3 linked regions of the Cricetulus griseus genome follow. The protein of the gene in region 3 interacts with the protein of the main gene of each other region in a biochemical or structural test. Links are inferred from orthologs where the notes say so. Each region holds a gene or a part of one and is shown on either strand. Other genes may lie near its edges.

The links.
Region 1: the proteins of Trim28 (region 3) and Cbx1 form a complex in vitro, tested with the Homo sapiens proteins (3 studies listed by BioGRID). The link is inferred for Cricetulus griseus from reciprocal best matches to the Homo sapiens genes TRIM28 and CBX1.
Region 2: the proteins of Trim28 (region 3) and fructose-1,6-bisphosphatase 1 form a complex in vitro, tested with the Homo sapiens proteins (2 studies listed by BioGRID). The link is inferred for Cricetulus griseus from reciprocal best matches to the Homo sapiens genes TRIM28 and FBP1.

Annotation. Positions count from the first base shown.
Region 1 is NC_048600.1:109,939,987-109,944,027, reverse strand, and holds the start of Cbx1 (chromobox protein homolog 1), read right to left. Parts: upstream 2,804-4,041; 5' UTR 2,625-2,803; intron 1-2,624. UniProt on the Homo sapiens protein: Component of heterochromatin. Recognizes and binds histone H3 tails methylated at 'Lys-9', leading to epigenetic repression. Interaction with lamin B receptor (LBR) can contribute to the association of the heterochromatin with the inner nuclear membrane.
Region 2 is NC_048596.1:280,508,583-280,512,848, forward strand, and holds the start of fructose-1,6-bisphosphatase 1, read right to left. Parts: upstream 2,804-4,266; coding exon 2,634-2,803; intron 1-2,633. UniProt on the Homo sapiens protein: Catalyzes the hydrolysis of fructose 1,6-bisphosphate to fructose 6-phosphate in the presence of divalent cations, acting as a rate-limiting enzyme in gluconeogenesis. Plays a role in regulating glucose sensing and insulin secretion of pancreatic beta-cells.
Region 3 is NC_048602.1:25,612,349-25,615,858, reverse strand, and holds part of Trim28 (transcription intermediary factor 1-beta), read right to left. Parts: intron 2,512-3,510; coding exon 2,248-2,511; intron 2,152-2,247; coding exon 1,517-2,151; intron 1,090-1,516; coding exon 977-1,089; intron 757-976; coding exon 624-756; intron 1-623. UniProt on the Homo sapiens protein: Nuclear corepressor for KRAB domain-containing zinc finger proteins (KRAB-ZFPs).

The sequences.
Region 1 (4,041 bases), on a different chromosome or scaffold from region 3:
AAGCCCAACATACCTGTGTTCACTCAACAGATTAGCATAACAGTAGAAGAGAAGGACAACGGATTGTTCTTTGACCTCCACAGCATATCATGGCACACTCCCTACCCCCACGTTTAAAAACTAAAACACCGCCACCCTCCAAAACCCAACTCGGTGTGGTGGTGAACAACTTTAATTTCAGCACTCAGGAGACACAGGCAGGCATGTCTCTGAATTTGAGGCCAACCTGGTGTATATATCAAGTTCCAGGTCATCCAGAGATAGTCAGATCCTGTCTCAAAATATAAAACAATAAAGACATAAATAAATGAAAATGTCTTTACTCCCAGCACTTGGGTAGGGGTGGGGCAGAGGCAGGCAGATTTCTGAGTTTGAGGCCAGCATGGACTATAGGGTAAACTCCAGGACAGCCAGGGACACACAGCCTTTTATTTCAAAAAATTGTTCAGAGGGCCTCAGAGATAGTTTAGCAGGTAAAACTGCTTGCCATACAAAGCCTGATGGTGAGATTGATCTCCTGAGCCCATGGTAGAAGAACAGACTTCCCAAAATTGTCCTGACCTCCATACATGGGATATGGCATGCACCCATGTGCACACACAGTATTTTAACTGATCACAAAAATACCTAGAAGGGAGGGTAAAATTCTACCAATTTTATTACTATCTATAAAAAAAAGTGACCAACCAGAAGTGACTGAAGAATTATCCACAAACCTTTACTGAGAAAGTGGTTTCAATATGGGTGCTTTCCCTAGGTCCTGAACTCATGGTGCTCCTGCTCCTTCCAAGTGCTGGTTGGGATTATAGGAGTCACCAACACACACCACTGGAATCTTCTCAACATTCATTCCAAGGAGGGGCACAGGCACTAATTTCTTGATTACAGTCACACATCTATCCCCAAACCTTAGATCTTTTGAAACTATTCCAAGCTGCTGACATGATTGTTAATTCAAAACTGGAGAGGACACCTTATGTTCCAGTAAAACTTTTTTTTTCTTTTCTCTTGCTTTTTTGATACAGGTTTTCCCTCAGAGATCCACCTGTCACAGCCTCCTGAGTGCTGGAATTAAAGGTGTGCACCACCACCGCCCAGCTGTAAAACTCATTTTTTAAAAATATTTTTTGTGGTACTGGAACATAACTCAGTGGTACATAACTTGGGAAAAATGAGTTCCATATTTCATAACTTTTTTTTCTGAGATAGGGTTTCTCTGTGTAGCTTTGTAAACCAGGCTGGCCTCAAACTCACAGAGATCCGCCTGCCTCTGGCCTCCGAGTGCTGGGACTAAAGGTGTGCAACACCACCACCACCCAGCTGATAACTATTTTCTAATAAAAATATCACTACTGTGTGTGTGGAAGCCTACTTTTACCGGTCCCTGCCATACCCTCACGGGTAGATCATAGGACAATTTTCTGGAGTGGGTTCTTTCTTTCCATCACTACCTGAGTTCCAGGAGTTAAACTGAGGTCTCAAGGCTTGCTCAGATTGAGCAAACACTTTTTATCTGAGGAGTCTTGCCTTACACATGCTATTCTTAGTCTCCCAACTCACAATGAAGACCCACTATGGCAGGGCGGTGGTGGTGAATGCCTTGAGTCCCAGCACTCAGGGGGCCAGAGGTAGGTGGATCTCTATGAGTGAGGCCAGCCTGGTCTACAAAGCTACAGAGAAAACCTGTCTCAAAAACAAAACAAAAAAGACCCATTACTAGGCAAAAAGTGGCCCTTTCACCCTTTCTTGACTTCCAATGCAGCCAAGAAAGGTCTTACACTTCTGATCCTCCAGGGTGCTAAGATTACATGTCCATGCCTTCACACCCAACCAGCTTATGTGCCACTGGAGACTGAATCCAGGGTTTGCAGCCCACTAGGCAAACACTCTACAAACTAAGCTACATTTCCAGATACCCCTTTTCTCTTCCACATTTCACTCGATCCTTCTCTGGACCTCTACCCTACTTATCCCAAGAACTCCTTTACAGAATCCGGTCAAGAAAACGTCTGATCCCTCGCTCCCAGATTTGTTCAACAAATCTTTTCTCAATAAGCACACCCTGAGCAACCCAAGACCCTTGTCCTGGAAGTTACTTCTTCGTGACCCTGGCAAGAGAAATTACTGATACTGTCAGTCGGACTCAATATCCTCAAATTCCTTTTCTTTTTTCTTTCTCTCCTCCAAGTGCTACTGGGATTGCCCGCGCCCGCCACCGTGTCCGCTTTCTCAGGTTACATTTCTAAACCTCTAGCGTAGGAAGTCGTGGTCCGTGCCACGCATACCCAAAGCACCAAGCCTGTCCTCTTATGTCGCTAAGTCCTAAAGTTTTTCTTCTCCCGCCCAACTCCAAAGTCGCTCCCTCGAGTCAATCCGTCTCGGTCCAGCTCCTGAAGAGCTAACCCTCGGAAGGCTCGGCTCTCATCTGGAACCACTTGGCTCCCGGGCTCCGGATTCGCTGCCCCGCCCTCTCCAGGCTCCCGCAACCCGCGAGCTATGCGCGGGAAGCGAACGTGAAGGACCGGGCCGCGCCCCCGGCTCCGCTCGCTCCAGGCTTCCGTTCGCGGCCCTCGACCGCCCGCGGCCTCCCGCCGTCGCCGCGCCCCCTCCCCCCGCCTCTTCACCTCCTAGCAGCGCCCGAGAGTCCGCCAAGAATCGGTGCTCCGCTGCTAGTGCGTCGCGTCGGGCGGCCCGAGGGAGTAGCGCCCAGAGAAGCAATAAAGCCTTGTGGTGGCAATGGGACGCCTCGGTGAAGCCGCTTACTCCAGGCCCCGCCAATGGCCCTCCCCTCAGCCGAACAAAAGAGCTTCTCACTCTGCGCTGCCCGCCGCCGGCACCGCGCAGACGCGGTGACCCGCCACACGGCATCATGGGACTCTGAGTCCGTGCAAAACTACAAATCCCAGAGTGCCGCGCGAGTCTCTTCCCTCCCCCGCCCCGCCCCCCTACTTTCTAGGGTTGTTTCCTTTAAACTGGAAAGGCGGGGTCGACTGTAGTTTATAACTCTACAGTCTAGAAAGTTTGCTGAGTGGTGGTGGGGCTTGTTTGTTTGTTTTTTAATAACGGGGTATGTAGACCAGCAGGTTTCGAACTCGTGGCCTTTCTTTTGCCTCAAACTTCAGATGACAGGCCACAACATCTTACTCAGTCTACCCAGAACACGTGTGTTTGGAAACTAGCCCCTAGATATTTGGTCAGGAAAACCATTTGCCTCGCCCAAAAAAAACCCCAAAAAAACAAACAAACAAAAAAACCCCATTTGCCTCTGGGCAGTTCTGTAATTAATATCCTCTGCGTTTAATATGTATATATATATATATATATATATATAATAACATATTATATACATATACATATACATATATATATATATATATATTTTTTTTTTTTTTCCAGACAGGGTTTCTCTGTAGCTTTAGAGGCTGTTCTGGAACTAGGTCTTGTAGACCAGGCTCTTCTCGAACTTACAGAGTCCCACCTGCCTCTGCCTCCCAAGCGCTGGGATTAAAGGCGTGTGCCACTACTACCAGGCTAAAGAATAATCTTTAATCCCAGCGCTTGGGAGGCAGAGGCAGGTGGATCTCTGTGAGTTTGAAGCCAGCTTAGTCTACAGAGCGACTTCCAGGAGCGCACACAGAGAAACCCTGTCTTGAAAAACAAAAGAACAACAAAAATCTTAACATATTTGTCCCCTGAGATTTACCAAATCTCCACCTTTCAGTAATGTCCAGCGGTCTCTGTAATCTTTTATCTCCACCTCCATGAGGTTACTACTCCTCAGCCTTGAAATCACTTTCCCTTTCAGAAAGTACTAAATTAATCCTCTTTTTTTGTTGTTGTTTTTGTTTTCTCAAGACAGGGTTTCTTTGTGTAACAGCACTGGCTGTCCTGGAACTCACTCTGTAGACCAGGCTGGCCTCAAACTCATAGAGATCCACCTGCCTCTGCCTCCTGAGTGCTGGGATTAAAGGCATGTGCCACCACTGCCTGACTAAATTAATTTTTTGGTAGTCATCATCTGGTCACTTCCTGAATTTTCTT
Region 2 (4,266 bases), on a different chromosome or scaffold from region 3:
CTGCTACTATAGCTCTGGTCACTCCTTCACCTGGTCCACTCATTTTCCATGTCTTCTCTTCCAACTCCATACTTTTAACCTTCCCTTCCCCAGAACCTGACCTGGGCTATAGGAAATGCTGTCTCATGATATCATATCATTAGGAGCAATGGAAATGACAACAGTGGCAACTTTGAAGTTAACTGAGACAAGGCAGCAGCATGAACCATAATTATAACTCTGCTGAGCTGTGAGACACCAGACTGAGCTTTGGAAACCAGTCCCAATGAGGTTCTTGAAATATCTACAACCATCCCATCCCTTTGGGTGCATGCTTTTCTAGGGCCAATTGGGAGTGATAATTAAGCTCTTTGAAGCCGCACTGGCTCTTCATTCAATACATCAAAGCCCAAATGAATATAATTTGGAGGCCTGTCGAGATCATATCTGGCTGCTGGAAGTCTGACTGCTTGTCATACTGTGAGTAGTCACCTGCTCACTGTCCCACAAGAATGCTTCCTACCTGTCCTACCACTGTAACAACCAGAGTAGCAAGGACTTAAATGCCACAAAGCCACAGAAGGGTTCCATTATTCAAGATGTCTGCTCAGTGGAACATCCTGCAGCAGTTTAAAAGGAAGTGGATGGTGTCACACCCCATGCCAGAGAATGTTCATTACATAATTGGAGGAAAACACGGTAAATACTGTCCCATTTTGTTTGCTAGCTACATAGGAACATGTAAATGCATGTTCATGTAGATATTTACATGAGCATAAAGAAGAGTCAGAGAAAATAATCAACAACAGTTAGCAGCGGGTACTCTGAGGATTTGGCATGGGTGGGGGGGTCTCCTTTTCCTCCATATCTTTTGAATGGCGTGGTGTTTTTGTCAATGGGTACAACTCCTTAAGGAATCTATGATAATATTTTCAAAAATGGTGTCATGACCATCTAGTCTACCAATATACATTCTCTTCCATGCCAAAACTGGCACCTTCTACCAAACCCCATTCCCATTTTCCGGGGCTAGTTAGGTGGGATTTGGGGGTTCTAAGTCTTTCTGAGATTGTGACAAGTACTGGTGCATTTTTAAAATAATGTAAAAAAAAAATGCCAACTGCTGTCTCTTAGAAAGCTTCCAGGTACTCAGAGAGTTAAATCTGTGCCCTGGAAACTCAAGTTGAAGTGAGACTTTACCTTCCAGCACTTGCTCAATAACTCCTTAGGGCCAAGAACAAGATGGTGAGGGAGTTCTCACCTCTAACATACCTGTTCCTAGCTTTCTCTAGCAAGGCCTAGCCCTCCTTGGCATCTGAAAGTAAATGTGACCAGGTGCTTCATTCTTAAGAATTAGCTCAACCAAGCCACACAGTAGAAACAGAGGTTTTGAGAAATAGATGCATAAAGAAATAAATAACCCAGGCCTCATTGTTGGGGGAGCATTTTAAAAAATGCACTTCAAAGGATTATTATGCTCAAGTTAGCCGCAAACCTTGAATGGCATTTCTGCATTGCTAATAGGCATGAAAAATATTAAGGAAATATACAAATAATCTGAAAACCCAGGTTCCATTCAGCTGTATGCTGACCAGTTAGATACCAAACATGTGCTCAGACCAGAACAAAGTAAAAGAGAGTTGAGTAGTTTACAGAAAGGTTTTCTTCACTTCCTTCTGTATGAACTATATAGTATTCCTTTTATACTGTATGAACTATAGATCAGAGCATTAAAATCACCTACTGTGCCAGGTGTGGTGGTGCACACATTTAATCCCAGCACTCAGGAGGCAGAAGCAGGCAGATTCTGTGGGTGCAAGGTCAGCCAGCTCTGCACATAGTATAAACTCCAGACCATCAAAAGCTACAGAGTGAGACCCTGACTCAAAAAATAAAAAAATAAAAAAATAAAAAATCACCCACCACAAGGAAACTTATTGGAAAGGCAGAATTTCAGACCTTCCCCAATCACCCCTGAAGGAGGGTCTGAATAACAAGGTCCCCAAATGTTTCAGAAGAAGGAAATCAATTCCTTGGCTCCATCAAAAGAAGACTACTACATCTGCCCTGTCTTCGAGCTCTTCGCTAATTGGGCAAGATCTGCTCAAGGCATTAATGCAAATAGGGAAAGGTTTTGTTGCTCTCGAGGTGAGGCTCTGCAGCTAATCCCAGAGAGAGGACAGGACACTGTATAGACAGCCGGACTTGACTGGGTATTCACTTCTTCCTAAACTATCGCTTGGTGGAATATTCTTAACGGAACTAGTCTAGGTCGAGGATGACACTGGATCTGAAACAACTTGGGTCCAAAATTCCAAAGAGAGTAACAGGGGAGGAAGGTGACCGTGTCTCTTTCTGTCTGAGACCGAAATGGGCAACTGTTAAGTCACTCACTTTTACCATGAGGCTGGGAGGAGCGACAAGGAGAGTTGAGATCAGAGGAGGGGTAGAGCAGGTTATGCACCTGGAAGACAGCCCTCCCAGGGGACCTGCTCCATCACCAGGAGGAAGAGAATAAGGGTTTGTGAGCAGCAGGGCAAGAGACAGGAATCTCAGGTGTCGAGTGGGCACACTGGTTACCAGCAGGGGGGCCAGAGAGGCAGACCCCCAGGCGCTCTAATAGACCAGACAGGGCCACCAGAGGCCTAACTCACAGGTGTACGATGCCAGCCTTGCGCACCGCGGACGAGATAGCTTTGATGGCAGTGCAGAGCGAGTTCAGCAGCTGGGTCATCTCGCCCGTGCCGTGAGCCTTCCTGCCCTGCTCCATGACGAAGCGGGTCAGGGTGCTGATATCCGTGTCGAAGGCCGCCTTGTGCGTCATGGCTGGGGCCTGATACAGGTGCGAGCTGCAGGTGCTGGCTGCAGGTGCAGGCAAGAAGGGCCACAGGTGATGCTCACAGCAGGAGTACCGAAAGCTGCCCAGTGTCTGCAGAAGCTCAGTGAACTTGAGTCCTGGGGGACCTTATAGCCGTTAGGTCTCCGCCCCCTGTCCCAGGAAACACCTCCTTTGCTCCCTGCCCCCACCCAACTGCCGTCCTGCCCGCGAGATCCTCCTAGCCTTCCCCTCCCTTCCATGCACCCTCCCCTAGATGCCACGCCGACATTGCCACTTCCTCCTCTGTTGCTCCACAGCCACACCTGCGTTCTGCAGCATGCCTGTGGGCTACCTGCGTGAAGATCGCCTTCAATCCCTGCAATAGCCTGCCAAAGAGGAAGACCTGATGGACTCCTCCCCACACACCCGCGCCTTTAAAATACAAAGCAACTCCGTGTGAGGGAGGGAGTAACTTGCTCAGTTGCCTTCCCTGCACAGCTGACAGCTGGCAGAGCCCAAAACCCAAGCTGGCCTGTTTCAGTGCCCGCCCGCTGATCTCTTGTCACCTGCCCCTTCAGCCACCTCCTGGAAAGTGGATTCCCCCATCCTTCATCTAGTCTGAATCCTTAATTGCTGCCTTCCCGAAGTTACTAGAGTTGGAGAACCGTTGAGAACCTTAGTTTCCAACAAGTGTGTCCTGCAGGGGAGACAATTACAGACACAAATTGTCCTGAAATCAGGCACGTCCCCAGTCTGCTCCTGTTGTAGCTGACACAAGTCCACAGGCTGATCTATAAAACAATCACTGGACAGCTACTGTGTACCTGAACACCTGCTCTCTTTGTGGTCAGGGCCTCCCTGAGTGTAGAGTTTAACAAACAGAAAACGAAAAGAAACAAAAACAACCCATGGATCAGCTTGCTACAGGAGCCACATTGGCTTAGGGGAGAATGAAACAGGAAAGACAAACATATAAGGAAACTGAGCGTCCAGGGGAAAGTTCACTGAGAAAGTAATATTTGAGCAAAAAGCTGAAGGATGTTGGGGAGGAGCCAGAGAGGACCTATCTGTGGTTAACCAGACAAGCCAGTGCAATCAGCTAGCACCAAGCTTATCAGAGACCATCTCTCAAAATGAGGGGCACAGTGACCAAGCAATAACATCCAAGGTTGTCCTCTGGCCTCACACGAGTACCCAAACAGGCACACATACACCAGAAAAGAAAAAAAAAAAGCAGGGATGGGGGGGGGGGGGTGGGGGTGAGGGAGAAAGACTAAATTATGACAGATCTCATGAGTCATAGCAAGACACTTGTGGGTTCTATTCATAGTGCAAGAAGAACCTTTAGAGGATTTTAATCCAAAAAGTAACTTGACTTGCTTTCCTCTAAATGGAGTGGGAACAGACTGTGGAAGGTCAAGAGCTGAAGCTAGGAGACCCAGTAGCATGCCTTCCACACAGCTTGTTTG
Region 3 (3,510 bases):
AGCCTTACCAACCTGTCAAGATGGTTGGTCAAGAAACCCTTCCTGGGGGCTGGAGAGATGGCTCTGAGGTTAAGAGCACTTGCTGTTCTTTCTAGAGGTCCTGAGTTCAATTCCCAGCAACCACATGGTGGCTCACAGCCATCTGTAATATCTGGTGCCCTCTTCTGACCTGCATGAATATATGCTGCAGGCAGAACACTGTATACATAATAAATAAATCTTTAATGAAAAAATAAAAGAAACCCTGCCTGATCCAGAGCCCTTACTTTTCCAGCAATCTAAAGCCAGAAGCCAGACAGGGAACATTCAAATCCAAAAAGTCATTTCCATCTTGCTTTCACTGGCTGCTTACGATAAGGTGTCTACCACCAGGACCCACTCACTCACTGTCTGAGTTTCCCAAGATGGTATTAGTTCAATCCTTAGTATTGACTGCAACATACTTAAGACACCCTACACACACTGCCTGGCTAGGACCTTTCCCTTCCCATCTAGAACCCCAGATTACTGAACCCAGGAACTTTTTCTGTTGTGTCAGGTCCCTGGAAAACCATCCAGCAAGCAGCCATTTTGGGCAAATGAAAGAAGAGGGTAGCTCCAACAGCCTCCAATTTTTCACCTACCTGTGGAGCGCACAGTGTGGTCCTTGGTATACTTCACCCGCTGGTGGGCCTCCACACAGGTCTCACACAGTGGCTCAGAGCACTCCACACAATAGCTAGTGGCTGGGGCATTATCTTCACAGCTAGTACAGCACTGTGAAAGAGAGGAGGGTTAGAATCGGCAGAACCGCGCAGCAGACACGCCACTTACTTCCCAGAACACACAACCTAAACTTCCTATAACCATGCCCTCAAATCTGTACTGCCCTCCGGGAAGCTGGGGTTAGATCCCGAAAACAGCCAAGCAAGCTGAGGATGGTGAGGCTCCAGAAAAAGGACGCAACAACCCCTTTCTCTCCCCCAGGACAACGCACCTGATTAGCATCCTGTGAATCGGAGGAAGCCTTACTGCCGCTATCACGCATGAAATAATTCTCCACGATGTCTTTGGAGTAGCACTGCTGCTTGCACACTGGACAATCCACCACTGCGGGACACAAGGGCGTGAACGCCGGACATTCTCCGGACCTGCGTGCCTCCCCCCCCCCTCCAAGAAGGCTGTGACCTGCGTGCCTCCCCCCACCCCCCACCCCCCAAGAAGGCTGGAACCACAGACAGACACAAATCTACCCTTCTCCCTGCCCTGGCGCTACTTTCCCATCTCCTACCACACTCTGCATCTTCGCGGACGCGGACCAGGGGGGCCACGCGCACATCAGCGCAGAGGCCAAGAGCTCGTGTGTCCCACCCCCCCACCCCCAGCCTAAAGCCACCGGGGGCTAACCCAACCCTCCCCTCCGCTACCCTACGTGGGGGGGGAGCCCCCCAGACTCTCGCACAGGCGCAGGGCTGCAGGGAGGGGGGAGGAGGAGGAGGAGGGGGGAGGGGTCCCCCGGCCACCCAGCCCCACTCACTAGCGCCGTCGCCCGCTGCTGATGCTGCCGCTGCTGCCGCCGCGCCGCCGCCGCCATCCCCGGAACTATTCGCCGCCGCCGCGGCGGGTGCGGCGGGGCCGAGGCACGCGCTGCAGGCCGAATGCAGGCAGGGCAGCAGCCGAGGCTCCCGCTCGGGCCGCAGGCGCTCGCGGCACACGCCGCAGTGCTCCAGGAGCTCCTGCGCCTCGCCACCGCCCCGCGGGCGACGCCGCCGCCGCCGCCGCTGCAGAGGCCGCCGCCGCCGCCGTCGCCGTCGCCGTGGCCGTCCGTGGCCGCAGAAGGGCGGCGGGGCGCTTGTCGCCGCCCACCGCCGGCCCTCGCCGAGCCGGGGCTGCCGGAGGTCGCCGTGGCCGCGCGGCCGGCCGCCGAGGCTGCTGCAGCCGCCGAGGCCGCCATTCTCCCGCCCCGGGGGGTGGGGGGTGGGGTGGGGGGGGGCGGGGGGCGGAGGGAGGGGGGGCCCGCCCGGGGGAGGAGGGGCGCGGAGGCCGCCGCGCAGGCGCACGAGCGCTCGCCGCCAACGGCCGGGGCCGGGCCGAGCCTGCGCTGCCGCCGAGCCGCCGCCGCCGCCGCCGCCACGCGTCTTCCCGGGGCCGACGCCCGCGCGGCGCGCGCCTCTGGGGACGCAGGCGACACAAAAATAGAAAGGAAAAAAAAGACAAAAAAAAAACAAAAACCAAAAAAAAAAAAAAAACCGCGGCTGGCTACCCGGCCTCGCTCCCTTGCGGACGACGAGGACGACGACGACGACGGCGCCGCCCCCCTCCTCCGCCTCCTCCTCCTCCTCCGCCTCGGCCCGCCGCCGGGGACCTCGCGCTCCTCGGCTCGCGACTCGCGAAAGGACCGTCCCCGACCGCGCGCCGCTCGCAGAAAGAGCCGCGGCCCGGAGGCGGGACAGAAATATCTGGCGCCCGACGCCGCCGCGCACGCGCGCTGGGCGCCGCCACCCCGGGCGGGCGGGGCGGGGCGCGGGCGGGCTGAGCGAGAGGGCGGGGCTAGCGGCGATTACGCACGCGCCGGTGTGCCCGGGCCTGCGGCTCGCGGCGGCGCCCGGCCGCCCGCCTCTTCCTCCCCCCCCCAAAAAAAAAAAAAAAGAAATAAAAAGAAAAAAGAGCGACGGCCCCTCCCTCCCCCGCGCGTGCGGGAATCCGCCGGGGATCGAGAGAGAGAGCAGGGCGCGCGACGACGCCTCCCAGGCTCGAGGCGGATGAAACGCGCGGGTCGTGCGGAGCTGCACCTCGAAGCCACGCCCCCTCGGCAGGCGGGGCGACGTCTGCAGCCTCCGGCGGGCCAATCGGCGTCGGGGAGAGGCGGGACGATTCCCGAGTGGGCGGGGCCGCGGCGGAGCACCGAGAGAGAGAGAGAGACTGAGCCCCAGGTGGAGGGGGCGCGCGGGGTCTCCGGCAGGAAGGAAGTTCCCGCCGGAACGCGGAGGAGGCGGTCTCAACGCAAACTTTTTTTTTTTTTTTTTATTGTTAAAACTCGGGAAGCAGAAAGTTCGCCCAAGTGGACCCCGTAGATGGATCACAAAGGACTAGGGAGAAGCCGTTCTGTCGAGGGGACTCTGCCCACCCCCATCACCCCTTCTCGTGTTAGCCATCTGCTCTCCTGATTTGCCTGGGGTTTAAAAGCGGGCCGGGAGGGTGGGCGAGCCGAACGTTTAGCGCAGCGGAGGAATAAAAGTTGGATGGGAGTGGCGGATCTCATGTGAGGGGCAGGACGGGGACCCCGAGAGAGAGGCAATCGGGACCTGTCCCGGGAGAGGAGCAGGGTCCAAGATGAATCTGATCTGAAGAGATCAGCAGGGTTGCGTGGCTATTAAGAGTCCCAGGATCAGTGTGGGGAAGGCGATCTGTCCCCCCCCCTTCCCGCCCCAGCCCCGTGCTGAGGGCGATCGCCCCTGCCGCCTCGTGTAGTGCCATGAGCACCCTCGGTGTGCACCCTAGGTCTGGACTGCTGCACGCTGGCAGGTCCAG